Linked DNA regions of Caenorhabditis elegans. Changing the gene in region 3 together with the main gene of any one other region gives a genetic interaction. Each region holds a gene or a part of one and is shown on either strand. Other genes may lie near its edges. The genes, in order: lin-25, lin-29, lin-45 and peb-1.

Evidence for each region.
Region 1: of lin-45 (region 3) and lin-25, changing one enhances a phenotype caused by changing the other (phenotypic enhancement), as found in Caenorhabditis elegans (one large-scale study listed by BioGRID).
Region 2: of lin-45 (region 3) and lin-29, changing one enhances a phenotype caused by changing the other (phenotypic enhancement), as found in Caenorhabditis elegans (one large-scale study listed by BioGRID).
Region 4: of lin-45 (region 3) and peb-1, changing one enhances a phenotype caused by changing the other (phenotypic enhancement), as found in Caenorhabditis elegans (one large-scale study listed by BioGRID).

The regions. Positions count from the first base shown.
Region 1 is NC_003283.11:12,648,055-12,652,935, reverse strand, and holds the start of lin-25 (Protein lin-25), read right to left. Parts: upstream 3,012-4,881; 5' UTR 2,980-3,011; coding exon 2,947-2,979; intron 2,877-2,946; coding exon 2,762-2,876; intron 2,715-2,761; coding exon 2,632-2,714; intron 2,585-2,631; coding exon 2,475-2,584; intron 2,425-2,474; coding exon 2,337-2,424; intron 1-2,336. UniProt on the Caenorhabditis elegans protein: Participates in the inductive signaling pathway downstream of let-60 Ras and the RAF/MAP kinase cascade to regulate specification and differentiation of many cell types. Positively regulates the fate of vulval precursor cells.
Region 2 is NC_003280.10:11,930,201-11,934,852, forward strand, and holds the start of lin-29 (C2H2-type domain-containing protein), read right to left. Parts: upstream 3,025-4,652; coding exon 2,916-3,024; intron 2,866-2,915; coding exon 2,668-2,865; intron 1,882-2,667; coding exon 1,808-1,881; intron 1-1,807. UniProt on the Caenorhabditis elegans protein: Transcription factor which regulates the expression of various genes, including those involved in cuticle synthesis and maintenance, such as collagens, and in lipid metabolism.
Region 3 is NC_003282.8:6,742,407-6,750,073, forward strand, and holds lin-45 (Raf homolog serine/threonine-protein kinase), read right to left. Parts: upstream 6,019-7,667; coding exon 5,947-6,018; intron 5,409-5,946; exon of another isoform or gene 5,315-5,408; coding exon of another isoform or gene 5,294-5,314; intron 5,053-5,293; coding exon 4,882-5,052; intron 4,720-4,881; coding exon 4,537-4,719; intron 4,486-4,536; coding exon 4,363-4,485; intron 4,311-4,362; coding exon 4,050-4,310; intron 3,691-4,049; coding exon 3,391-3,690; intron 3,341-3,390; coding exon 3,217-3,340; intron 3,044-3,216; coding exon 2,829-3,043; intron 2,784-2,828; coding exon 2,661-2,783; intron 2,444-2,660; coding exon 2,185-2,443; intron 2,139-2,184; coding exon 2,042-2,138; intron 1,993-2,041; coding exon 1,581-1,992; intron 1,060-1,580; coding exon 832-1,059; 3' UTR 132-831; downstream 1-131. Other genes in the region: smg-7 (DNA/RNA-binding domain-containing protein), read right to left, coding at 1-24. UniProt on the Caenorhabditis elegans protein: Protein kinase that participates in the induction of vulva and has roles in fertility and viability. Acts downstream of the Ras protein let-60. Required for progression of developing oocytes through the pachytene stage.
Region 4 is NC_003284.9:2,209,429-2,217,073, forward strand, and holds the start of peb-1 (FLYWCH-type zinc finger-containing protein peb-1), read left to right. Parts: upstream 1-1,622; coding exon 1,623-1,667; intron 1,668-2,813; exon of another isoform or gene 2,814-3,104; intron 3,105-4,029; exon of another isoform or gene 4,030-4,152; intron 4,153-4,207; exon of another isoform or gene 4,208-4,589; intron 4,590-4,806; exon of another isoform or gene 4,807-5,154; intron 5,155-5,377; exon of another isoform or gene 5,378-5,563; intron 5,564-5,801; exon of another isoform or gene 5,802-6,018; intron 6,019-6,201; coding exon 6,202-6,324; intron 6,325-6,391; exon of another isoform or gene 6,392-6,513; intron 6,514-6,522; coding exon 6,523-6,624; intron 6,625-6,679; coding exon 6,680-6,853; intron 6,854-7,210; exon of another isoform or gene 7,211-7,473; intron 7,474-7,645. UniProt on the Caenorhabditis elegans protein: Putative transcription factor. Binds to specific sequence motif 5'-[TC][AGT]TGCC[GA][AT]-3' in regulatory elements of target genes such as myosin myo-2. May modulate gene expression, perhaps acting in opposition to transcription factor pha-4.

The DNA.
Region 1 (4,881 bases), on a different chromosome or scaffold from region 3:
ATAATTACAATTTCACTCTGAAATCAACATGAAAGTTTCATAGCTGTGTTCTTTTTCCAACTTTTGAAATATACTACTGTCTGAGCGGTTTTTAACTGAATCCGACGATATCAGAACGGGAAAATGAAATTTATGAAAATTTTCCAAACAAAACTATTTTGAAACCTTATTAGGCACTAATCAGTTATTGTAGAAAAATTCTCAATCTGTCGTTTTTGAAAACATTCCTGTCAACTTTGTGATTTGGCATAATAATAAGAAACTCGACAAGTAGGGCTCTATATACCCACATATCTTTTCGGACAGAGGGAATGCGAAAAATTAATCAATCGCAAACTTGTTAAGCTTAAGATAAGGAACACTTTTCCCGTGCAAACTATTTGAAAAAAAATCTGAATGGATCCAGATTCGAACCAGCAATGACTCTACTGAAGAGCGCGCGCTTTACCACTTCTCCAAACAGGCAAGTGGCGGCCGCGGTTCCAAGGAATATGTGAAACCAACCGAGCTGTACGAAGTAAGAAGCTTCCATTACTTTTTCAGATATTTAGTTCTGAAAACTTTGTCAACTCTCCTTATCAACAACTAAATGGTCCTTTTTGTAGTTATTTCTACTGGAAAAAAAGAGTGTGCCTGTAAATAATATCCTGCGTATAAACGTTGTTGTCCAGTGAAAACCTTCGCTTGACTTGAAATTTATCTTGAAAACTACTTTTTTTGAGTGTATTTTTAAACATTCTACAAATTCCACTTAATAGCAGCTCGGGAACTTCTGTGATTCATCGAATAAGCTATTTTCAAAAAAAAATTGGCCCAAAATTTGTTTCTGAAAAACGGCCCCAATCTTGTTTTTTTCCAGTAATAAATGCAATCTGAATTTTTTCGAAATTATTTTTCGCATGGAATGTCCTGTTTTTGGGTTTCAAACGCACTTTTTTGTCAATTTTGCTTTTTAAAAATATGAAGTGTCGTCGAATAAAATGCACGGTACGCAAAAGTACGCAAACACCGACATGTACCGTACTCCGGAATTTTTTCAATTTCGATCGAATTCGATTTGCCAATAACGAAAACGACGAAAACGTTACGTTTGAAGCCGGAAAATGGGATTTTGATACGAAAAATTATTTTAAAAAATAAACTTTTTATATACACTCTTGGAAAAATAAGAACTGTAGTGGTTTTTGAGAAAAAACATTTTAGGCCCAAAATTTAATTTCAAATGTTTCATTTCTGTATCTCGTATCAACATGCATGTACAATTTTCTAGAAATTTCAAGTCAAGGGAAGGTTTTCACTGGACAACAACGTTTATACGCAGGATATTATTTACAGGCACACTCTTTTTTGCCAGTAGAAATAACTACAAAAAGGACCATTTAGTTGTTGATAAGGAGAGTTGACAAAGTTTTCAGAACTAAATATCTGAAAAAGTAATGGAAGCTTCTTACTTCGTACAGCTCGGTTGGTTTCACATATTCCTTGGAACCGCGGCCGCCACTCGCCTGTTTGGAGAAGTGGTAAAGCGCGCGCTCTTCAGTAGAGTCATTGCTGGTTCGAATCTGGATCCATTCAGATTTTTTTTCAAATAGTTTGCACGGGAAAAGTGTTCCTTATCTTAAGCTTAACAAGTTTGCGATTGATTAATTTTTCGCATTCCCTCTGTCCGAAAAGATATGTGGGTATATAGAGCCCTACTTGTCGAGTTTCTTATTATTATGCCAAATCACAAAGTTGACAGGAATGTTTTCAAAAACGACAGATTGAGAATTTTTCTACAATAACTGATCAGTGCCTAATAAGGTTTCAAAATAGTTTTGTTTGGAAAATTTTCATAAATTTCATTTTCCCGTTCTGATATCGTCGGATTCAGTTAAAAACCGCTCAGACAGTAGTATATTTCAAAAGTTGGAAAAAGAACACAGCTATGAAACTTTCATGTTGATTTCAGAGTGAAATTGTAATTATACCTAAAATCTGCTACAAGGTAACTTTCAAATTCCAACTTTTGATATTCTTTTTTTCATTAGGTAGTAAAAAATCGTTAATCGTAGTAAAAGATACGAATCGTAGTAAAAAATCAAATTCGGAAACCGTAGTAAAAAAAACGGCCGTAGTAAAAGATACATTTCGTAGTAAAAAATCGAAATTGGAAAATGTAGTAAAAAATACGGCCGTAGTAAAAGAGTAAACCGTAGTAAAAGAGCAACGTAGTAAAAGATGAGGTAGTAAAAGAGCATTTGCCAATTTTGAACATATATTTTGGTAACCTTCAACATGTAAGCTTTTAACTTTAAACAACATTTATCGCTCGTTAAAAATACTAAAAATCTTACTTGTATCAGTTGCGCGAGGAAGAAAACAGTCGGCTTCATAATCGAAATAAGCTCATCTGCATGCAATTTATCAGAAAATGACTTGATTCTGAAATTAATAAACTTGGCAAAATTTTTCAATTAAAAATGCCAACTCACTGTACATAGTTGACCATTTCCCGGATCAATTCGCATTGCAAACATTTCGAATAAATTCTATCTGTTTTTGTATTTATCACACTGTGGATGACTTGATTCCAGGTGATTGACTGTAAATTTATAATTTTTTGGAATAAAACAAAGAACTACAGAGTACCTTATCTACGACAAGTTTGAGAAGATGGTCCCGGAAAACATCATCGATATATGTTCCATTATAAGCAAACCGAATCAAAATATCTGAATAAAATATATTAATACAATTACAAAAAAGAATTGCAACAAACCACAAAGCTGCTGAGTTGAGATACCGGGAAAGTCAACTGGACGAATGACTGATGATACTTTTTGTCGTTTTTCATTTGAGCAATTGCGGAGTTTGTCAATATATTCAATAACTATCTAAAAAAAAATTAAATACAAAATAAGTTTGTTGAAATTAAAATAAAAATTTATTTAAAAAAAAACTCACTTTTGTTGAACTATCAATTTTGATACTATTCATGATTTAATTGATTTAAATTTGAAGCATTTAAACTGTAACCAAAATATATTCAAACACCGACATTAACCCAATATTCGGTGCAATAGTATAAATGGATGTGAGACGTAGACACGCAATAGAGCGAGGTGGCCGAGTGTTTATTGTCCCCCACTACTTGGGGGACTAGGTACGATGCATTCCTCTTCCATTGTACATTTTCTGACATAGGAGGGATGTCTTCCTTCACTTCTCAGAGTCAATGAAAAATTGGGCGTGGACGGCATTTATTTTCAATGATTCTACACAATTTTCAGATGTAATAATCAAACTGCCACCCCAACAATCTCTTAAGACGATTTAATTCAGCTTCATTCACTTTTCATTTTCAAAAAAAAACTTTAAGCTTGTTTTAATTACTTGTTTATAAGTTACCATGGAAACATTACATTTTCTAAAATGTGCTTTGCACTCAAACTATAGTTTAAGTTTATATATAAACTTGGAAATAACAACTTTCAATATCTTGAGCATGTCTCAAATTATTTCATTCGTAATTTTCACTAGTGTTTTTATCAGACCCAAAGCCACTATTGTAAAAAAAAACTAGGCAAAACTTTCAGCCTTTCAAAGCTGGGTGCATCATTTTCTTCATCGGCCAAAAATCATGTTCTCGGCAGAGAGCAACTTAAGAAACAGGTGGAGGTTAAGTAAAACTTTGAGTGAAAATATATTTTTGAAGATAGATGAAAACTTGAAAATCGAAACACAAATACTCGAGGAACGTAAGAAGAAGGCTTTAAAGCTTCTTATCATAGGTACCTGATTAAAAAAAAAAACATAATCAAAATGTAACCTTTATTATATTTAGGTCCGGGAGAGTCAGGAAAAAGTACAATAGTCAAGCAAGTAAGGTAAATTCAATGAAAACTACATTTTTTCAGTTGCTTCCAAAAATTATCACCTACTCAGCTGATTTTCAAAATAATTAGATAATATATTATCGGTAGTTTGTAATATTGAAATTTTGAGAATTCTTCATTGTGGAGGATACAGTGTTGAAGAAAAAAGAGCTCTAAAACATGGAATTTATATAAATATCTTGGAAGGTATTGATGAGATACACTGGGCAATTATGTGGAGACAATTAATTTACGAAAATCCATCTTCAATTGTAAGTAATTACCGTATTTCCTCTATTAGTTTTGCACCCCTTTGCTCAACTTTGACAACTCATATCTCGTTTTGTTTTAAGCATATAAATAATTAACAAACTACAAACGTTAGAAAACATCTTGCAAAAATTTTATCAGTTGACAACTTTTTTATAAAACAAACGACTACTGAGATATGAGCTGTGAAAGTTGAGCAAAGGGGTGCAAAACTAATAGAGGAAATACGGTAAATGTTTCAAAACTAATTTCCATTATAGGAATGCCTAAATCAAATCCGAATATTTACGAAACAGTTCAATAAAACTGGAGAGACTGAAAATGTTTTGTGCAAAGACATTATAAAGTCTATCCAGATGTACATAAAAGATGAAACAGTTGCCATGATGTTGAGGAATAAAACTGTTTATAATATTGAAGACTCAACAATTCAGCAAGTTAAACGTTGGGTTTTATTCAGTCTAATTATTATTATTTCCAGTTTCATTGAAAACCTTGCAAGAGTTATTGGAAAAGAATACTTGCCAACCGGAGAAGATATATTGAAAACCAGAGTCCCAACCTTGGGAATTGCACAATATGAAGCAAATATAAAACATTTGACTTTCAAGTAACACTTTGTTCAGTTTGTTGTGGTTTTTGGAAGGAAACAATTATTTACAGATTCATTTTTTTCGACATTGGGGGACAACGTGCTCAACGTCGAAAAATTACCCATGTGTTGTGAGATGGGCTGGGCTATGCCACCATCTCT
Region 2 (4,652 bases), on a different chromosome or scaffold from region 3:
TTTTTTGAGTGTTCTAGTTATTTTGTGAAGATTTGAAAAAATCCAGTTGAATTTATGTAAGAGACTCAATGTAAGCAAAAGCCTAAGCCTAAGCCTAACCATAAGCCTAAGCCTAAACCTAAGCCTAAGCCTAAGCCTAAGCTTAAGCCTAAGCCTACGCCTTAGCTTAAGCCTAAGCCCAAGCCCAAGCCCAAGCCTAAGCCTAAGCCTAAGCCTAAGCCTAAGAATAGGCCTAAGCAAAAAAACAAAAAAAAACAGAAAAATAATCCTCAAAATTCAAATCAAATTTGAAAAAAGGAACATTTAACAAAAATTGTCAATCAAACAGTTCAACATACAAAAATGAGAGAGACAGATCAGGGGAAAAGAGCACACACTCTTGCTCAAAAATCCTACATTTCTCACTCTCTTTTCATCTCCACAAATTTCGCGTTCCATTTCGTCCACTAGGTCAACAAGAAAAAACGTCGACGCACGCAAAAAAATGAGCTCATTTTTTAGTTTTAAACCATACTGGTTTTAAACACAAAAATACTGTTCACAATAATTTCAGCCTTTCAAAAATTTGATCTGTGTACCTACGTTCGCGGGCGCGCGAAAAAAGGACGAGATGGAGATTTTGGGCTCTTTCTCTCGAGAAAAAACAACAGTCTCTGTTTCTATTTGTTTCCTTCTCCTCCTCCTCCTTCTATCCCAAATACCATTTTTCCTGCAAAAAAAAGACGAAAAAAGAGAACAGACGGACATAAGAAGAGCACACACAAAAACGGTACGAGCTCTTGCTGCTGCGAAAGGGAGTTTTTGCGGGGCTGCTTACGATCGAAAAGTGCACATTTCTACAGAGACCATATTGAGACCGGATAAAAACAAATTAAATTTTTATGGAGAAAATTCACGGCGGAAAAGTCGAGGAAAAGCTTGAGCTTGATCACTTTTTGGTCTCGTTGAACTTTTCAAACTTTTTGTTTGCTTTTTAGAGCACAGATTTTTGAACGAAGCCTACTTGCTTTCAGAGATTTCCGGCAAAAAGGTGGAATACAGTCATTTTTAAATTTTGCTTAAATTGTTAGAACAAGAAAAAAAATTTTGTAAAAAATTCCAACAATTTCAAAATTTTTTATGATAAAAAAACGCCTAAATTGAATTTGAATTCCCGCGCAAACAAACCAAAATTTTTTCGTTTTCTGGAAAAATAGTTGTATCCTTTTTTTCTTTTGTAGCCGACTCAAAATATCTTTAAATTCAAAAAGCTAAGCCTAAGCCTTAGAATAAGCCTCAGCCTAAACCTAATACTAAGCCTAAGCCTCAGCCTGAGCCAAAGCCTAACCTTAAGCCTAAAACTAAGCCTAAGCCTAAGCCTAAGCATAAGCATGAGCCTAAAGTAAGCCTATCTATCATTTAAAGCAATATTTCAATTATTTTCAAAACTATATTCTGAACAAAAAACTCCAATAAAAAAGGTACCTGTCTGCCTGCCTCAAGCTTGCGTATCTATTGGGATGTACTTAAAAGCACCTTGCAAGGCAGGCACGTAAGAAGGCAAGCATGACGTTTTTAAAAAAATTATTTATTAAAATGCATTCATTAAAAAATTGAGTAATTTTTTCTCCGTGTTTAGGCAAAACAAAACTAATGAAATTAAAAATGTTTCAAAATTTCAAAATTGTTTTCTAGTTCGAAAAAAGTGCGGAACACTTCTACGAAAAAACACCCCCTGTCCCCTGTCCATAGCCCCCGAATGCATTTCTAACTAGATTTCAAAAATGTTTCTTTTTCACCCTCGTTTGAATGTGTTCCCTATGCAAACCTGTGGATATCTTCCAAATTGTGAAAACATATGATGTGGCAGGAGAGAATTCTGATGGAAGTTCAGTAGATCCGCTGAAAATTGAATTGAATTAGTTATGATTTGCCGAAAATCTGGATGGTCAGGTACATTGGGGGTACGTTTGAACTGGTACATAAAAATGGGAAAGACACGTGGTTTAGAGAAATGACACGATTTTTAAAATGTAGAAAATTACTTTCAAAGTCACCATCAAAAGTGAATGGAAATAAATCGGGGCTCCATGAGCAGTCTGCAGAAAATTTTTCATTTTTTAGGGTTAGGTTTAGGCTTAGACTCAGGCTTAGGCCCAGGCTTTAGTTTAGGCTTAGACTTAGACTTAGGCTTAGGCCTAGGCTTAGGCATAGGCTTAGGCTTAGGCTTAGGCTAAGGCTTATGCTCAAGCTTAGGCTAAGGAATATGCTTGAACTTTGGTTTAGGTTTAGGCTTATGCTTAGGCTTAGTCTTAGGGTCAGGCTTAGGCTTGGATTTGGGCCTAGGCTTACTAGGCTCACTCGGGAATATATTGACTTAGAAGTACGATAAAAGTTTATCTTCTTTTTGTACGGGTAGATGAAGTAATTGGCTACTAGAGTCTAAAATAATATCTTACCGACGACCTTCGGAAGACCTGGGCTCAGGTTCAGGCTTGGATTTGGACCTAGACATGGGATTTTTCTTAGGCTTTGTCTAAAGTTCAGTTCTTTGATTTAAGCATAGGCGCAGGCTCAATCTCAGTTTTAAGTTTTCTGCTATCAAAATTGATCGCATTTTCTATTCTTTGAAGATACAGAAATTGAATTTAAATGAAATTTTCGAAACAAAAGCTTTGATAAATCTACCTTGATTAAAATGCGGAAACGGGTTTGTCGATGAAGCAGCAGTTGCCGAGTCAATGGAGTGTTGCGACAAAGCCATATTCAAATTAGTGATCGAATGATGTGCTGGTGTGGATCCAGTTGATCCGGTCACATTGTCCGAGTTGGCACCGTCCGTTGAGTCAGTGCCGTCGGTTGACCGACTTGATGATCTCACTGAAACTTTAACTTTATTTTTTATGATCAGTTTCTTGAAATAATCAAATCCTCACAGTTTGTTCCAACACCAAAATGGGTGGTAGATCCGGAGCCAGTGGTGGTTCCAGCTATTCCAGAGTCCACTGGAGAGTTGAATGCCGAATCTAGAACAGTTTGATCCATTGCGTTGAAGAAGTTGGCTTGATCCTCGCGAAGCTGAAAGGAAAGTATATATTTCTTTATAGATTAAATGCCTAAAACATCTACTTGGATTAATTTTTATTCTCAACTTTGATTATAGCTTATATCTCAGTTGTGGTTTTCTTCGACTAAAAAATAGGCAACTAACAAAATATTCGTAAAATCTTTTTCTACCATTTCCTAGTTAATACAGTAACCCATCGGCTGTAAAATTAAATATTACCTGGCTCCAAAAATTTTGGGAAGACCCATAAAAATTACACGGCCACATTGCTAATAATCTACACTTTGAGAAAAAAAAATACTATAGGAAAAAGTTAATTAACAGAGGTGGGGCCTAAAAACTCATACTCATACCGTAATCGGAAAACACGGCAGGTGGTCTATGTTGATTTTTTTTTGTTTTTGCATAGACTTGGATTTCACAAGTCGAGGAACAACATACTGCACCTGCCCCGAAGTACGGCGGTGAAACTTGGAAAGTGTAGCATTATTGTACCTAACGAATACTTTAATCTAATGAAATTCAAGACAAGAAAAAAATCTCCTAAAACCATGTGACCCAAAGAAGAACTGAAAGATTTCTTATATGCCCTTTGTCTACTCCTTTCGATTCCCTTTTACTCGGTTCCGATTACACGTGCCCACCACCTGCCACGAAACGTTCGAATTCACTTTTTTTCCCGTTTCATTTTAGTCGGTCTCTCCATTTCGAGACACAACTCATAAATATGGAAAAGTGCACAGTGCACACAGCTGTGCAAGTTTTGAAATATGTACAGCAGATTTGAAGAGGGATTGGGGTGAAAGTTAGCGGGTTTTCGTGAAGCCGCCTAAGCAGTTTAGAATACTGTAAAAGGAGCAGGCGAAAAATAGCGTCAAGAATTTGGAAACCTCTTTTTGAGATGTCCTTATCAGGGCTGGGCGGAAATTGCCGGTTTGCCGATTTGCCGAAAATTTTAATTTCCGGCAATTTGCCGGTTGCCGGTTTGCCGGTTTGCCAAAAATTTTCGTTTCAGGCAATTTACCGTCTTGCCGATTTGCCGTAAATTTTGAATTTCGGCAAATTTCAGGTTTGCAGTTTGCCGAACATCTATTTGCCAGAAGTTTTTAGAGGGATTTTTAGTAAGACGGAAACATTGTGACTTTTTGAATTTTTTCCCGTTTTCTTTATATATTTGCATAGAATTTGCTTACTTTTCAGAATAGATGTAGGATGATCATAGGATGCGTATAAATTTGCCGATAAAAATTGAATTTCTGAAATTTTCAAAAAAAAATGTGTGTGCAAAACCACAATTTGCCGAAAATTTTCGGCAAATCGGCAATTTTCCGGTTGCTGATTTGCCGGGCCATTTCTATTCCGGCAATGCTCCGATTTGCCGGAAATAATCGTTTTTCTTTTTGTTAATAATTTCTCATTCTCTCCCCCCAACCTCTACCCCAAACTTCCCCAACTCTCCATACCTACCGTTATCACCAGCACTAGCATGTTTCAAGAAAGTCCCCAAATACATTTTCAGTAGATCGTAAAAACTATAAGGTTTTTACGAGTTGTGCCACCACGCTACCGTACTAGTAGTGATGAAACAACTGATAAAATGTAGAGA
Region 3 (7,667 bases):
AAGCTGTTCCCATTCGTCCGACATCCTGTGGAATCCTCTGGAACAAAATTGTTTTGTTTTTTTTTCAAATTTTAAAATATTAATCTGAAATCCTACACTTTTTCTAGCCACTCAAAAGAAGAAACAGGAAGTCAGGCGAAAAATTATTTTATCTTCAACTTTTTTTGTTTGCAAAAATTAAATGATTCAAATAACCCGGTTCAGAAAAGGAATGGGGATGCTGCATTTTGAAATTAAAATAAATGGAAGTTTCAAAATGTGTTCGAAATGACAAAAACAAAACGGATAGGCATTGGATTCTATATAATTCTATACATACAGAGAATCTTTGGGATGTTTGGAAACGGAAATGGGGTGGGAACATTGAAAACTTATCAAAAGAAACGTTTTCAATAAAAAGCATTATAGTTGGAAAAGAAAAAGTTCTACCGGTTTAGCCGAAACAAAAATATGAAAATTATCACAATTTCACATGGGGGAACGATTGCAGGCGGACTTAGACTGGAAAGAAAGTATTTTGGTGGGATTTTTAAGTTTTGGAGGAAACGGTGAATACGGGGTTAAAATAATAATAATAATATCGGGATGGGTGATGAGGGGGTGAATAATAGAACAGGATTCAATGTGACGAGAAATGATTAGTAAAATAACGATGGGCGAGATTATTCTTCGACTGGAAGTTTTTTGGTTAGTGTACACATGGGGTAGGGAAAATCACTGGGAAGAATAGAAAAAAGAGAGAAAATAAAGGTACATATTCGGGGAGAGACGAGAAAATCAACTAAAAAGTTGCAGTGTCCCTTGATTTTCAAAAAAAAAAACAAAATAAAACTAAATGAGACCATAGACATTGTAGTATGCCTTCTTGTTAGCAGCGGCCGCTGCTGCTGCTGATTGTGGGGTTTTTGCAGTTGCAGGTGGAATATATGACCAGGAAAGCATTTGGCTTCTCATTACAGCATCCATCACCGAATATTGCGAGTCTAAGTGAAGAACATTCGGAGCTGATTGAGAACGAGTCAATTTTGGAAGAATTATGTCGCGAAGTCGTTCGAGAACCTGAAAAATTGGAATTCATTCATTAAAATTTATTTAAAAATCAAACTACAATATTTTTTTGGATTTTTCAGTGTAGTGGAGTTATTCATGAGCGAAAAAAATGTTTTTAAAAAATACATCGATTTCTTAAAAGCATGTTTTTATCCATTTTTCGACAGCGTCAAAGAGTGAAAAATCAAAGGAAGCCACCATATTTAGACAAAACTGCCAATTTTAAATGTGAAAAAAAAGAGCGAAAATGTGTGAAGTACTGGAAGAAAATAAATTCCGAATTGTCCTCGCGGTGTACACGGGGAGAACGCCCAGCTCGTAAATTTACACAACTTTTGAAGAGACATAGTCATATGAAAACGTATGGTCTCGCCGCATGGCGGCTTACTGTAGTTTTTCGCTCGTCGACGCTGTCGAAACATGTACAAAGTACAAAAAATCGATTTTTTAAAAGTTTTTTGACACTCATGAATAACCCCATAATAAATCATAGTTCTACCAAATTTCTAAAGTCGGTATTTCCCACTCACCTCTCCAAATACTGGCCGCTCATTTCTATCGAACATAATGCAATTGTCATATAATTTGAGCATGCTCTTCGGCGTATCATGTCGAATTTTCGATCTATCCGGCCTCAAATACCCTCTTCCAACCATAAACAATATCTGATCTCGATTATTAATGTTGGAGTATGGTAGATGCGAAGATAGAATTTCGTACATGCATATTCCAAAAGAATACACATCAGACTGTGGGGTATATGGATTATCATCTTGCATTCTGATGACTTCAGGTGCCATCCAGAGAATACTTCCTGTTGGTTGTTGTTGCTGTTGACCTCCGTTCACTGTCCATTTCGTTTTGACAGTTGCCAAGCCGAAATCTCCAATTTTTACCGTTGACATGTCATCCATAAGGAATATATTGTTCGTTTTCAAGTCACTGAAATGTTTTAAACATTTAAACATAAATTATAGATATGGTCAGTTACCGATGAATAATATTTTTTGAATGTAAATAATTCATTCCAAGAGACACTTGCTTCAGTATATCAATGATAGCACCCATTTCAAATTCGACGCGTGGCTCTGAAAATTATTAAATTATAAGAATTAAAATCTCAGTTCAGATCACCTTGAACATGAATATGTCTATACAAACTCGATCCTTCACACCATTGAGTAATAATTGCAATTTCTGGTTCTCGAACCCATCCCATAAACAGCAAAACATTCAAATGACGTGTTTTCTTTAAAACTGCAACTTCATTTTTAAAGGCTGCCATTTGAGAAGGCGTCGGATCAACAACATTCAGCTTTTTTATAGCAACAGTTCCGAAGAATTCTCCACGATAGACGGTACCGAAGGATCCCGAACCAACTTTGTATTGAATCTAAAAGAATGCTTGTTTTAATAGTTTTGACAGAAGTTTTGAGCGTTTTTTTATTGCTTCAACTGTAAAAAAAAAAGCTATTTTCAGATAAATAAAATGTTTTTTTTCTATATTCGATCACTGAATTTAAATGAAAAAAATTAGGATAACATGCTCCTTTTGTAGAACTGCCGGTTTGCAAAAGCCGTGCACCCTTGCTGATGTAGAATAAACTTACAATAAATTCATTCGGCAATATTTCCCAATCCTCATGATGTGGTTTCTGTGGCGGCCTGGGTCGTTGTGCATCAAGTCGTTCGCCTGGCGATCGACTACGATTTCGGAAGAAACCAGGTGAAATCTAAACATTTTTAATTGAAGAAAAATAGATTTTTTTGAATTCTACCTTCTGAGGAGGTGCTGATTGTGGTGGTGTTAATGGGAGAGTATGCAAATGAGCGGCTACTAATGATGACGTCGTTGATCCTGATACATTCGGGGATTGTCCAAGAGTAGGTTGTCCGATTAAGCCACCTGGAGGTGATGAACATGTAGATGAAGGAGAATTCGAGCCAAGAGGAGTACAGTCAACAAGTGGGTGAAGACGATTCATTCGAGCTCCTGAATAATTGAGAATAAGTGAAATTAAAATAATTAGAGTCGTTTGGGAAATTCTTGAAGGTGGAATAGAGTAAAAATTGTTTTTATAACTTTAGAAAAACGTCTTAAATTTGGAATTTTGTTTTTCTTCCCTGACCTTTTGACGAATCGTTATGTTTTCTGTTTTCGATTACCTGACAAAATATGTCCACTCTGGAAATGAGGTCGATGACGTGCTTGTGTTGAAAGTAACGATCCAGTTTTATCTCGTGATTCTTCTTCTAATCGCTGAGCTTCCAATGCATCAAGAATTCTTTGCTGAAAATAATACATTTTAGACTTTTTCTTTTAAAATTGGTGACTATTACATTATGTTGAACTGTTGCCTCATCATTAATCGCATTGATATTCGGAGCAGAAGAGCTCCGATCCCGTGGATAAGGTCCGGATGGAGATAATTGAGATGTTTCATTCTGTGGAGAAACAGCCATTGGATGTCTTTTGACACCACCCGTTCGTTTAATACTCGTCAAATCTGGATGAGAACTGTCTGGTGTGGCAGCTGGACTTTGTCCACTCGTTGGAGCTAGATTAGCAAGAACTATTTCGGCAACTGATCTATCTGGGCCTTCGACTTGTGATGCGATCCCAAAGAGTTCTTTCACTAGCTGAAAATTAAATGTTTTAGATAAGAATTGTTTCTGAAGCAGAGGTGAGCAATTACGCCATGTTGTTCCAACATTTTTCATTAAAAATCAGTGTAAAAAATATATAGAACCACCTTAATTATCTAATGATAACTTTTAATTATGTTTAAACATCTATGAAAATGCACAAAAATGACCTAGAAGTTGCGAATTGCCTATGGCAAATGGCCATTATTGTGCATTTTCACAGATCTTTAAACATAATTAAAAGTTGTCATTAGATAAATAATGTGGTTTTCTATATTTCGACGTTAATGACAAATGTTGGGACAACATTGGTAATTTTGTAATATTGCCGCCCGCCTTTGTTCTGAACGCACATCTTCATTTTTCGGTACAGATTGTAACAAATCGCAATAAAGTGGTGCAAACGATGAGCATCTTTGATGAAATTTGAATTGACAAAATTCACATCGAAATCCCATCATCCAGATAGGATTATTGCATACATCACATGATTTCGGTGGAATAAACGTTCTTCGAACAATTGCATGTTTAATCGATGAGACTGTATTCAGATATTCTGAATGAACCCATAATTCATTTCCAGGCAGTCGGGATGCGATCTCTTCCATTGTCAGCTGAAAATATTCAAAAATAAGAATTATGCTGTTAGATTCCAGTAAATCACACCGATAATTCAATAGATTCTTGTTTTGGGTCAGATGACGCGTTCACGTGACATAATTGAGGTGTGATATTCCGTTTTTTGAGCAATTTCGAAATGGCATCCCGCGCGGTTTCACCGGGACGAACCTGAACAAAATGTGCTTATTTTCTTCGTTTCACAGTGAATTTTTTGCTTACTTCAACCCTAGAATGTTGATCAAATGGCAAATGAACCATAATCATTTTGTATTTGAATTTTGGCGGTTCCTTGTCACTTGTTCCTGCTCCTCCAGCGGAATGATGTCCAGATAACGAATGAAGACTATCACTGTGCTTTGGATAAAGAGGAGTTGAAGGACTTGCCATCGGCGAAGCTTGATCCTGAAAATAATTATGAGTTACATATAAATATTTAATTGATAATCTTTGGAATGAGAAGTGGACGCTTGATTCTGAATTGAATAGATTAACACGATTCCCCACAAGTAACATGTAATTAGTGTTAAAAAATTCAAGACAAAGGATTCGTTGCTAATTTTCTACCTTCCGATCAATAGATGAAGAAGCACATCTCGGCAGACTTATAAGCCGCGGAGATGGGCAATGTGGGCTCGTCGGGGTGGTCGACGCCGATGACTTTTTGAAATTAATCCGACTCATTCGGCGGCGTGTCGACGATGATGATGGCGTTTGAGATGATGTGACAGGTGACTTCTAAATTGCTGTTAGTGATTACATGTAATTAAAAAACAAAAGGACAATTTGGACGAGTAAAACATTAAACACGGACTTTTAAAGGACATTTGAGAAATCAGAACAAGCAATAAGTAAATTACTTTTCAGATGCTCTATTTTATTATTGTGAAGCACTTTTTAAAACAATCTGAACAAATAAATGTTTCCCTTTAGCATTTTTCACTTTCATTTTATTTGTGGAAAACGTTCGAAAACACACCGTTTCGCGAGAGCATTCCATGTGAAAATTGCAGTTAATTCCAAAATAAAATAAACCAGAAAATCAATATATTCGCAGATAGAAGGTCAACAAAAGAAAGAGAGCGGCGGTAAGGGGCGCAAAGATGATTTTTTTCTTTTCCGAGAAGAGTACACGGAGGGAGTTAGTCCGCGGGCCGAACACACTTTTCTCTTCCATTTTCGCGCAGAAGATTTTAACCCAGATTTTGCAGGGTTTATTAGAATTTTCAAATAATAAGGACAGCGTTGCGCTCGGTTATATGAATTTATGTAGATGGAGTGAAGCTTTAAATAAATCTATTATTAATGGAAATATGGAATACGTTTATTTTCATTAGTTGATAAATTAACTTTTCAAATCTACAGTAACTCGATAGCTGAAAAGAAAAGTTAAAACTTGTATTGAAAAAGATGTTACGAATGAAACGTGGGATTCCCATGTTCAAAAAAGGAATCACGAATGTTCAATTTGCTGGCCAATTAAACAATTGTGTTCGCAAAGTTTTAAATGCAATCGTGTATTTTCTCAATACAGAAGCCCCGCGGGTTGCTTCATAAAGTCATTTGATTATTCAAATATCACTATGATTTCACAGAGTGTACCCTATTGATTTAAATCAGTTTTCAACTTACTGGTGCCGATTTCCGACGATTCCAGCCTCCATGAAAGTGACAAACTGAATACAGTACAGCCATTGCAGACATTTTAAAATGTTATGTGATCAATTATGGAATATAATTATCTCCAGATAACTTTAGAAGAATTTCAGAAAGTAAAAATATATTGTTAACAGGGGCCCCTTTGGATCCAATGGTTCTCTTCACACACAAAAAAAGAGAGGCGGGGTTTGTTTTCGCCATCTATTTTTTCTCACTGGTTTCTGTGCTCTGATCGAGAGAGATAGAAAAAGAGAGCAAAGAAAAAGAAACGTGTAAATCGGGAGCGACACGTGCCACGAATAGGTTGACAATGTTTTCAGCGTTGGGTCTTAACACGAAACAGATGACCTTAGTTTGTGAAGAGAGCAGCAAGTTGATTTGAAGAAACAAGGTCATACGTGACAAAACACAAACTAGAAAAGAATATATTCGAAAAAAACCACTAATCAAATTATAAAAGAAGGAACTAGATGACATTTGGTTAATAAGCTACTTCTAGTTAGTACACCCCGAATTAGCTGTGAAAGTTGAAAAAACGGGAAAAGTTTATCTGAAACTGACAGACTAGACAAATGTCTGTGACATATTGCAACTAAGATTTTGCAGAATGTGGACATTTTTGAGAAAAAAGGGATTACATGACTCAACTGATTACCTTTACGTTATGGTAATTTTCAAATTTTCTGAAAAGTGAACTGATCTGTTAAGATTGGTCTTGCCACGAAAAAATAGTTCATTCTAGGATTTAGAAAAATTTGGTATCATTTGCTTCCTTGGAATCAACTTAACTTAAGTATTACTTATCAACTTATTATCTTAACATTTGTCAACTTTACCACTTTTAAACAGTTATTTTGAAACTAAATTTTCGAAAGTTGGAAAGCAGAATAAAAGCAGCTGGCATCACGGAGATTAAAACATATGTCTTAATGTGTTTTCTCGCGACGAGACCCATCTGAGTTGATACATGTTTTGAGGAATAAGCGTGAGTCTAAAAATCTATTTTGAAAAATCTATGAAAAAAATCCAAATTCTACGAATAAAAATCAATGGGATCGCGCATCAAATGTGTTTTGTTCGTTCCGCCTCTTCATTCCACTCTATTCTCATCTTTTTCCGCCAATTTCCACTTGAAAAGTGCGAACAATTCCTCAAAAAAGAAACAAAATACACTATATTCCACATCAAAGAGGTCATTTTTCTATCAAATATTTGTTTTGGTTTATCAAAAAGATTGAGGTTCTAAAGATTATTATTAAAAGTTTTAAATAAACAAACTACGAAAGCATTATTTTGATCTAATGTTGACTATACAAAACTTTTTCAAATTTCTTTGATCACTAGAATTTCAAAAAAAAACCTATTTCAGTATAATTGTAGTTCGCAAAATAACAATTATTTTCATTTTAATGTGAGATATCGTAGTTCTTAATATAGATTTTCAACAGAAATTCAGAAATTTGGCTTCATCGAAATTAACTTTGAATCGTACATTGGGACGTCCTGTCTTCAGAAATTTTCAGCCGACATGCTCAAACGAGCTCCAAAAAAGTTTAAAAGTATCTATTGCAAGGTTTTCGCCAGCTTTAGAAATTAACACCAAATCTACCTCTACAGTTAAAAGTTTAAGAGCATTGGACATTTCAAATTGAACGCTATTCAAAGATTATAATCAAAGATTATAATCGAAAAAT
Region 4 (7,645 bases), on a different chromosome or scaffold from region 3:
AAACAACCTTGTGTAGTAGAAACAGTTTTGTAATTTGAAAAGTTTTTAAAATCAGACAACTGAGATTATATCTCGATTATACAAATCACTTGCTCCGGGTTTTTTTCTCTAGATTTCCATCGGTTTTGGGACTGCACTGGAGATTTTTGGATGAACATGTGAAAATTTTTTAAATAATGCACAGGCCGAACAGTCACACTTTGAAAATAAATTGATGTGATCTATGCAGATAGTTGCAAATTTCAAAAAACTCTACCCCTGAACACTGTCATTCTGCCATGCCATAATTTAGTTCAGTCGGATGAATGACCTTTCGTTGGCCAATTGGATGCGAAACACTGGACGGCACCGAATCGGCACGGCAAGTGGTACTGACAAGCGACAACAAAGACGGATAGACCATCAGTTAAATCAAGATAAGAATTGCTTGTGAACTTTTTCAGATATCGCATTAGGTCGAGAAGTTAATCAAATCATTGCTTTTTGAAGACATCACTGAAAGTGCCAATATTTTAGTAATTGATATTTACACAAGGGACCCCACTGAACTCATCAATTTTAAAATGTGATTTCCAGTTGATGTAAGCAACCAAGAAAAAGGCATATTACTTCAGGTTTTTTGCACTTTTATTTTCCAATCTCACAAATGTGGGCGTATGATGAGCGGCACACTCACGCATCCAAAAGTTTGCCGGATTCATAAAGTAGTATAGAAGTGTCTCACGAGCGTGGAGGGTGGCGCTGGCCCGAAAAAAAAATACGCTGAGACTGTATTGGAAAAGTTTAATCACGTATTTCGCTCGACTCGTCATTTATTTGAGCCTTAGTTTGTGTCTCGCCGTTTTTGGTTTTCCGCCTCTCCCTCATTCCCCCCGGTCTATTCCGAATTTGCCGCGACCCATCACAGGTCACGAACTTTAGTGCCCGCACGCCGCGTTTTGTATCTGCCTGCGCATCTACACGCTGACATACTATTTGTTTGATCCGCGCGGAACTGCCACAAACAACAACAATCTGCGTCCGGCGAAGACGTCGTCACCATATACCCATCTATTGCATCCAACTCATCTCTTTCTTGTATTTAATTCCTTTTTCACACACCCACACACACACACACCACACCACAGGTTGCAAACCATTGTATAATTTTCTGAAAAGCACTGTAACCAATTAGAAAACGATTTTTCAAAAGTGGAGCAGTGCTACATATATGATACCAAAATAATCAAATTTTGTATTAAAACTTTTAAAAAGTCAAAAAAAATCGTTTGAAATGTTTTTTTTACTGACAGTCAAAAAGTGGAAATTTTTAGAGTTTATGCCTCGAACAAAAACTGAGATTTTTCCAATTTCCAATTCCAGTTTGACACACATAGTGCAACTCCAATTGCTCATTATTTTATTAGTTTATTCTTACAACCATCACCCTTTTCCCAGATGTATTTCGTACCATGATGTGTGTATGTGTGTGTGTTAAAAGGTCATTTCAAGCTCTTCGTGAAAGGCACCCTGCTCAGTTTGTGCCCTGTTATGATCAATATAAATGTGTACTTTATTCCAGGGCAACGAAACGAGTAAACACCGAGAAAAGGAAGCATTCTGGATATTCCAAACTGGGGCTGATGATGACAACAACAGTTCAAAAAAATTGCTGGCGGCTTGACCAGGTGAGTGACCAGTTAGATTTGTTCAGCGACAGGCGTTTTCAGTCGGTGGTTTGAGTTTGCACAACTGTTTTCTTGTCCTTTGCGTGAGCCAAGGGGTTTGTGCTGAGTTACCCTCTATCTATTTGTCAGAATACGATGTGATGATCAAAACTTTAACATCATGCATTTTCTTGAGATCCATAAACCCCCCCCCCCCCCCCTCTCGTGTGCTTCTCTGTTTCTCGGTTTGTTCTCCTATTCACCCCGTTCGTTTCAGTGACGTGTCGTCGTTTGTTTCTGCCTGCCAAATATGGCTACGGGGGGGAATATGAATTAAATTGACTTGGTATCTATCATTCCATTTTTATTTTCTGGGAGATGTCAAGAAATTTTGGAGACGAGCGGTTTTTAAAATTAATGTAGTTTTTTTTGTTGTGTTCTCACATTTTAGTTTTCTAATCGGGGAAATGTTGGAGTAAATTGTAATTGATAGGTACACATTTACTTATCAATGGTTCACAGTTTCAGTTAATTATCAGTATTCATATGCGTTTTTATCTTTTGTATAATTTTAACATTCTACATTTTGCAACCAAAAAGCTCTCTATGTTTCTCCTTTACGGGCGGAAAGTAGTGCTGGCTTGTACCATTGCCAATCAGCTCTTTGATTAAAAAACCAACATATCAGTTGACAGTACCATTTTGCCCCTGCTCGACTTCAATGGGCCGCGCCAGATGAGTCAGCGACCTTTGCACACGAGCCCGGACAGTGCTAGGCGCCGGGGCATGACCAATGCGCGAAAGTTTTGTTGCGTAACCGCATGTTTATTGTCCGCTTGCCAATCGTTTTCACTTTTAGTGATACTTGCAGCTCGCCCTCGTCGTTATATTTTTTTTCTGACCGTCGACGCTTGCTTGCCTTCTCCGAAAAGTTTTGATATAAAACTAGCAGTATTTTTCGTTCTGTGGCTCATAGTTTCTGACGTCTTCCTCTTTATGACTTTACGCGGAAGAAAAGGGCAACATCTAAAACCACCCAGTAATATAAAGTGCGCGGTTTCGAGGGAACAGTTTCGAGAGAAAGATTAAGTAGATGAAGGCAGAGAGAACCAACATTTGCAAATATAGTACTAGGTTGGAGGAGTGCCTCGGCGCTGCGATGCCTGTCTACAAGTTTGCACTTGGCTGGTCAGTGGCGTTACGTGCCACTCTCTGTACTGCGCGAGACGTGGCCAAACTGATGCGAAGCACAATATATACACGCCCCGAAGGGTCATTGTTTGCCGTTTGCCCCCCCCCCCCTTTGCGGAAAGGCCTTTCGTACTGTACTCTTGATGTGTGCTTCCTTCCGGCCGGGCACCCGCCACCGTGGTTGTCACAACTCGGATGGCTCCCACTTCCTCCACTGTCGAAACCGTTCGGACCGCCCATTTCCATTTTGGCTCACGCCGGGCTCTCGCACACATACTTTCCACACTTCTACTGTCAGTGGTGGCAACTGGAAGCACTCCATAGTTGACTAATGACCTTTCTAACCTTGTTCCCTGTACTAGAGCTATCAATTGTGTATCATTTCTCTTTTACACTATTTCATGTTTGAATTTTCGAACAGGGGGTCAATCTCTGAGGCAGGAAGGGTGGAGCACCAGTAACGCACTTTACTCGTTTTGCCTTGGCGCGTTCATTGTTCCATTTCACAATTTTTCTCCTAATTTTCTAGACCACTTCAGTTTTTAGAAGCGCTAGATGTTGTTTCATGAAGTGACCAGTCTTGCGTGTTCAGTTTTTTTCTTGGCGTAAATGCCCACTCTTCTTCTTTTCTCCTAGCTGCCCCTTCTTCACTTTCTCCAAATCAAGGTTCAGCTATAGAAAGTAAAATCGCCTTTCACTCATCCTGGACAAGATTGACTACGAGCTTTTGCAGCTTCTAAGACTTCTTCGAGAATGGGGGGGGGGGGGGGGGGGGCGCGACGTGAAAATGAAGGGCATTCATGGATCCCGTAGTAAATATGTGATATCATCTATACCAATTTTCTGGATATCGAACTAATCATTGACGATTGCAAAATTTCGAAAAATTTGTAGGAGAGAAACGATTTCATCTGACCGATCCGAGACTGGCACCCCTTTGTTCTAGGCCCTCTCCCGATTGCCATAGAGATGTCCATCCATCACCTTTCCTGACAACCCCAGATGGTGGCGTATGTGTATGTGTGTGTTTTTTGACTAATTGGAAACGAAAAGCCGACTCCAGACTTGTAATTTTGCTCCAGCAATGTTTTTTTTCCAGATCTTTTCAAATTGACGAATCTGCCTTTAAACGTTTCGTGATAGACATAGAAATTGACATCCGGTCAAATAATTAGATGAAAAAACCTTCCATATTGGGGGCAAAACGTCCAAGTGAGAGTGGATCGGCGACTGGCGCCAAATTGCTGCTGCCGACGCAGTTACCATACTTGGATGTCGGACAAGGCGGATTTCGAGAGTTGTTTTTATGTACACACGCCTTTCACCTCTTTGCCCCTTGTGATCTTTTTTGCATTCGTTAGACGCTTCTTTCATTTTCGTTCCTCATCACCATCATCATCCACTACTAATGGTTCAGGGCACGGCGTATGCGCGCGCGTGCCTCACACCATCGGATCGCGGATGTTTTGGCGGGGTTGGCTGTTCATTTAGGGGGGAGGCGGCCGATTGAAATGAAGAAGATGTTGTGGATGTAGAAGTAGGAGGAGATGGAGGAGGCAAAGGCCTTCTCCCTCGCGGTTCTTCGTGGCAGGCAGCCTGACCCCGTTCCTTACTGAACCGCCCCCCCCCCCCCCCTCTCACTTCCACCCGACGCCGCCATCGGAATTTTAGACTACCAGTAGAATATGGATAGCGGAAGGTGTGAAACTTCAGACTGCGATTCTCTAGATTCACGCTTACTGTATTTCTACCTTACTACTAGTCTTGTTACGATTACCTTCCTAATTTTAACGTTTGATATGTTTTCACCTTCGGCTTCTATACAATTCCCATCATCTTGAAATAGGTATTATCAGCATGTAAGCATGCCAAACAAATATTTTTGTTGTCCAGTGGTGCTCGACCGTTCCAGGATCGGTATTATGCAATTTTTCGCTGAACCAAGCATATACATACTGATAAGAAAAATGTTTGTTCTGTCGGCCACTGATTACTAGACACTTGAATTCTGACCGCCATAAATGGCGAATCGTACGCGAGAAGTGCTGACGCCGTCTTGCGCCGATGTCCAATAGGACCTTGCACTTTGCCGATGTTGCAACAGTAATAGTTTCCATCAAGGTTATGCGGACTAGTGCCACGCGATTGGGTCAAGCCGTTGGCTTCCGCCTTTCTTATCAAAATCTTCGCCCTCAATTACCTAATTTTGTGGTTTTTTTTTTCTCTCCCGAATCCATCAATCCGGTGTCAATCCGTGTCTTCCGCGCTAGGTCATGCGGGCGGCGACGGCGCGGCCCTTTTTTCGGTAATCGTCCTGGCATCCCACACTTTCCATTGGCCCGGATATAATAACTTTTTGGAGACCCCCTTTCTGGTGCCTATTTGCAAAACTTGCTTCATTTTTGGTCACTTTTACTCGAACTTTCTCTTCGACGATGACCCCCTCGCCCGCCACAAAAACAAAAAGTGAAACTTGGAACGGTACTCGTTATACCTCATGCCTTTACTTTCTCGCGCCACTTCCTCGCAGTATTCCATGGATGGAAAAGCGGTCAAAAAAGTATTATGATCAGGCTGGCGGAAGATAGATGGAAGGAATTGTGGGTCAACGAAGTCAAAACACCATTACTCGATAAAAGTCGCCGCATGTTGCGGAATGTGTGCCATCGAAACTGGTTACTGTATTTCTTTTCCGAGAATTTTGCTTTGCCCCGCTATCAACTTTTTGTTCTATCTTCTTTAGAAATTCCGAATTAAATAATGATAATCATATACTTCTGTATTCTTTTTAACCCTTCTTTAGTCTGTTTTTGAAATTTCGACCAACCACCTCAACAAAATTTACCAAAATCAAAAAAAAAAGTGAATGTGTCAATCTCGTTTCAACGCATGTTTCTCGCCAATTTCCGTACAGTCAGTTGTGCCTCCTGCCGGTCACTCATCCTCTATCTCTTCGCCACTCTCGTTCTCGCGCACCTCATCCAAATAACAGTATTCGGTGTCTTAGTTGGCAGCCGGTTGGTGCCTGCCACGATAGGTTATCAGTTCAAATGGCACGCGCCTCTCTCGACTGCCCCATCAGCTGATTTGTCCGCCCCAAGCAACTGATAGTGCCTGGGGCGGAGAGATAGATGAGAAAAAATCGTCTGATTCTAGGTGTCTGAACCTCGCTCGCTATCCAACAGCAGGTCCGCTCGTTTTTTTTGTCACATCTCTCTTCGTTGGTCATATCTCTTTTTCATCATCTGTCTAGTTTGAGTTCAATTTCTAATTCATCAGAGGTCATTTGGTTATTATTATTCTATTGCTCCCATCGCTATTTTTTTTTGCTCATTTGATTTAACACATCAATTTTCCTTTTCAGACAATGCTGGGTCTTGAAAAGCCTGGATCATCAGACATTTCGTCTTCTTCCACTGATACTTCCGCCATTTCTCCGATTAGCGTGAGCAGTATGCCACTATCACCGGACAAGGAAAAGAAAAAGGTAAGTACTTTGAGATAACTGTTTGGACTGTCCGAAGGGCAAACATAGTTTTGAAAGAGAACGTTTGCATAGTTGACCGGTGTTTGTTCAGACGGAAAATTTAGGGCTTCCTTCCCACACGAATTTCAAAACAACCTGACACCGGGAAACACCGCCTTAACTGGCGATTTTGGGCCGATAATAATAGTTTTTTTTCAGATCTCATTTGTCCGATACAATCCAGACATTCCACAAATTGTCACATCTTTCAAAGGATATCAAAAACTTATGTATCAAGGCTACCGATATAATATTTATCAGGTATCATAGACCATCATTCAAGTGGTGACTTTCATCACGAGTTGTTTTTTTTCAGATTGCTCCAGAACGTAACTTCAAGTCTTGGAGATGCGTTTGCGCTAAGAAAATGCATGATGGGCAGTGGTGCAAATGCCGAGCTGAAACAACCATGGATAATAAAAACGCATGCACGAAAGGATCACACAATCACCCTCCAAGACACCATGTCGCTGAGATCGAATTTATCAAGGTACGTGGCGAGATTACACAGTCACAACTGTCTAGGTTAAGAGCTAGTGCCCTTTGCAATTGGCGCAGTGCCAGATCAGAGCACCGATATCATAAGGTTGAATTTGCCAGCTGACTCTTTTTGTTCCAATTGGTTCCTAGGCTTGGCGCCTTCAAGTTCGAATTTCATAACGTCATGTGGAACCTCTAGCTTTTGAGAGTGTCTAAGGGAATTGTGTGTACGTGCAAAAAAGATAACTTTTTTTTATTTCGTAACCCTTAAAAATTCACTTCATGGCACCAGTAGATGGAAAAAAAAGATCGTCGGCCCTTTTCGAGTGTGTCAAAAATAGTTTGTGTATACAAGTTAAAAGTGCAACGAGATGCGCTACTTTCGGCGCTGGGTGGCGCCGCCGAGTGCCTAGGTCAGTTGCGATGTTGGTCAGGTCAAATAAAACAATCTGAGCGTGGCACGGTTCGAAACATCGGCCACTCATGCGCGTGCCGCAATTTTGCCCCCCTCCTCCCTCCCATGTTGATGAACCGCGAATAATTCGCAAACAGATCCGCGCATTGCCAAGGTCAAGCCATGGATGGCAGGCACGCGGCAGCGCGCGCGGGGACAGGCTGGGCCATACCACCCGACTCGTTAACCTAGATGCGCCAATTTTCCCAAATCTATTGCGTCGCTGCCATTCAAATTGACGGTACAAACTTTTTGCGAATTCTTCCGAATTGGGTCATCGGAAGGGTCAATTCTGACGCAATGTAAAGTGCATCGAATTTCAAATCCTGATTCGACCTTTGTAGATGC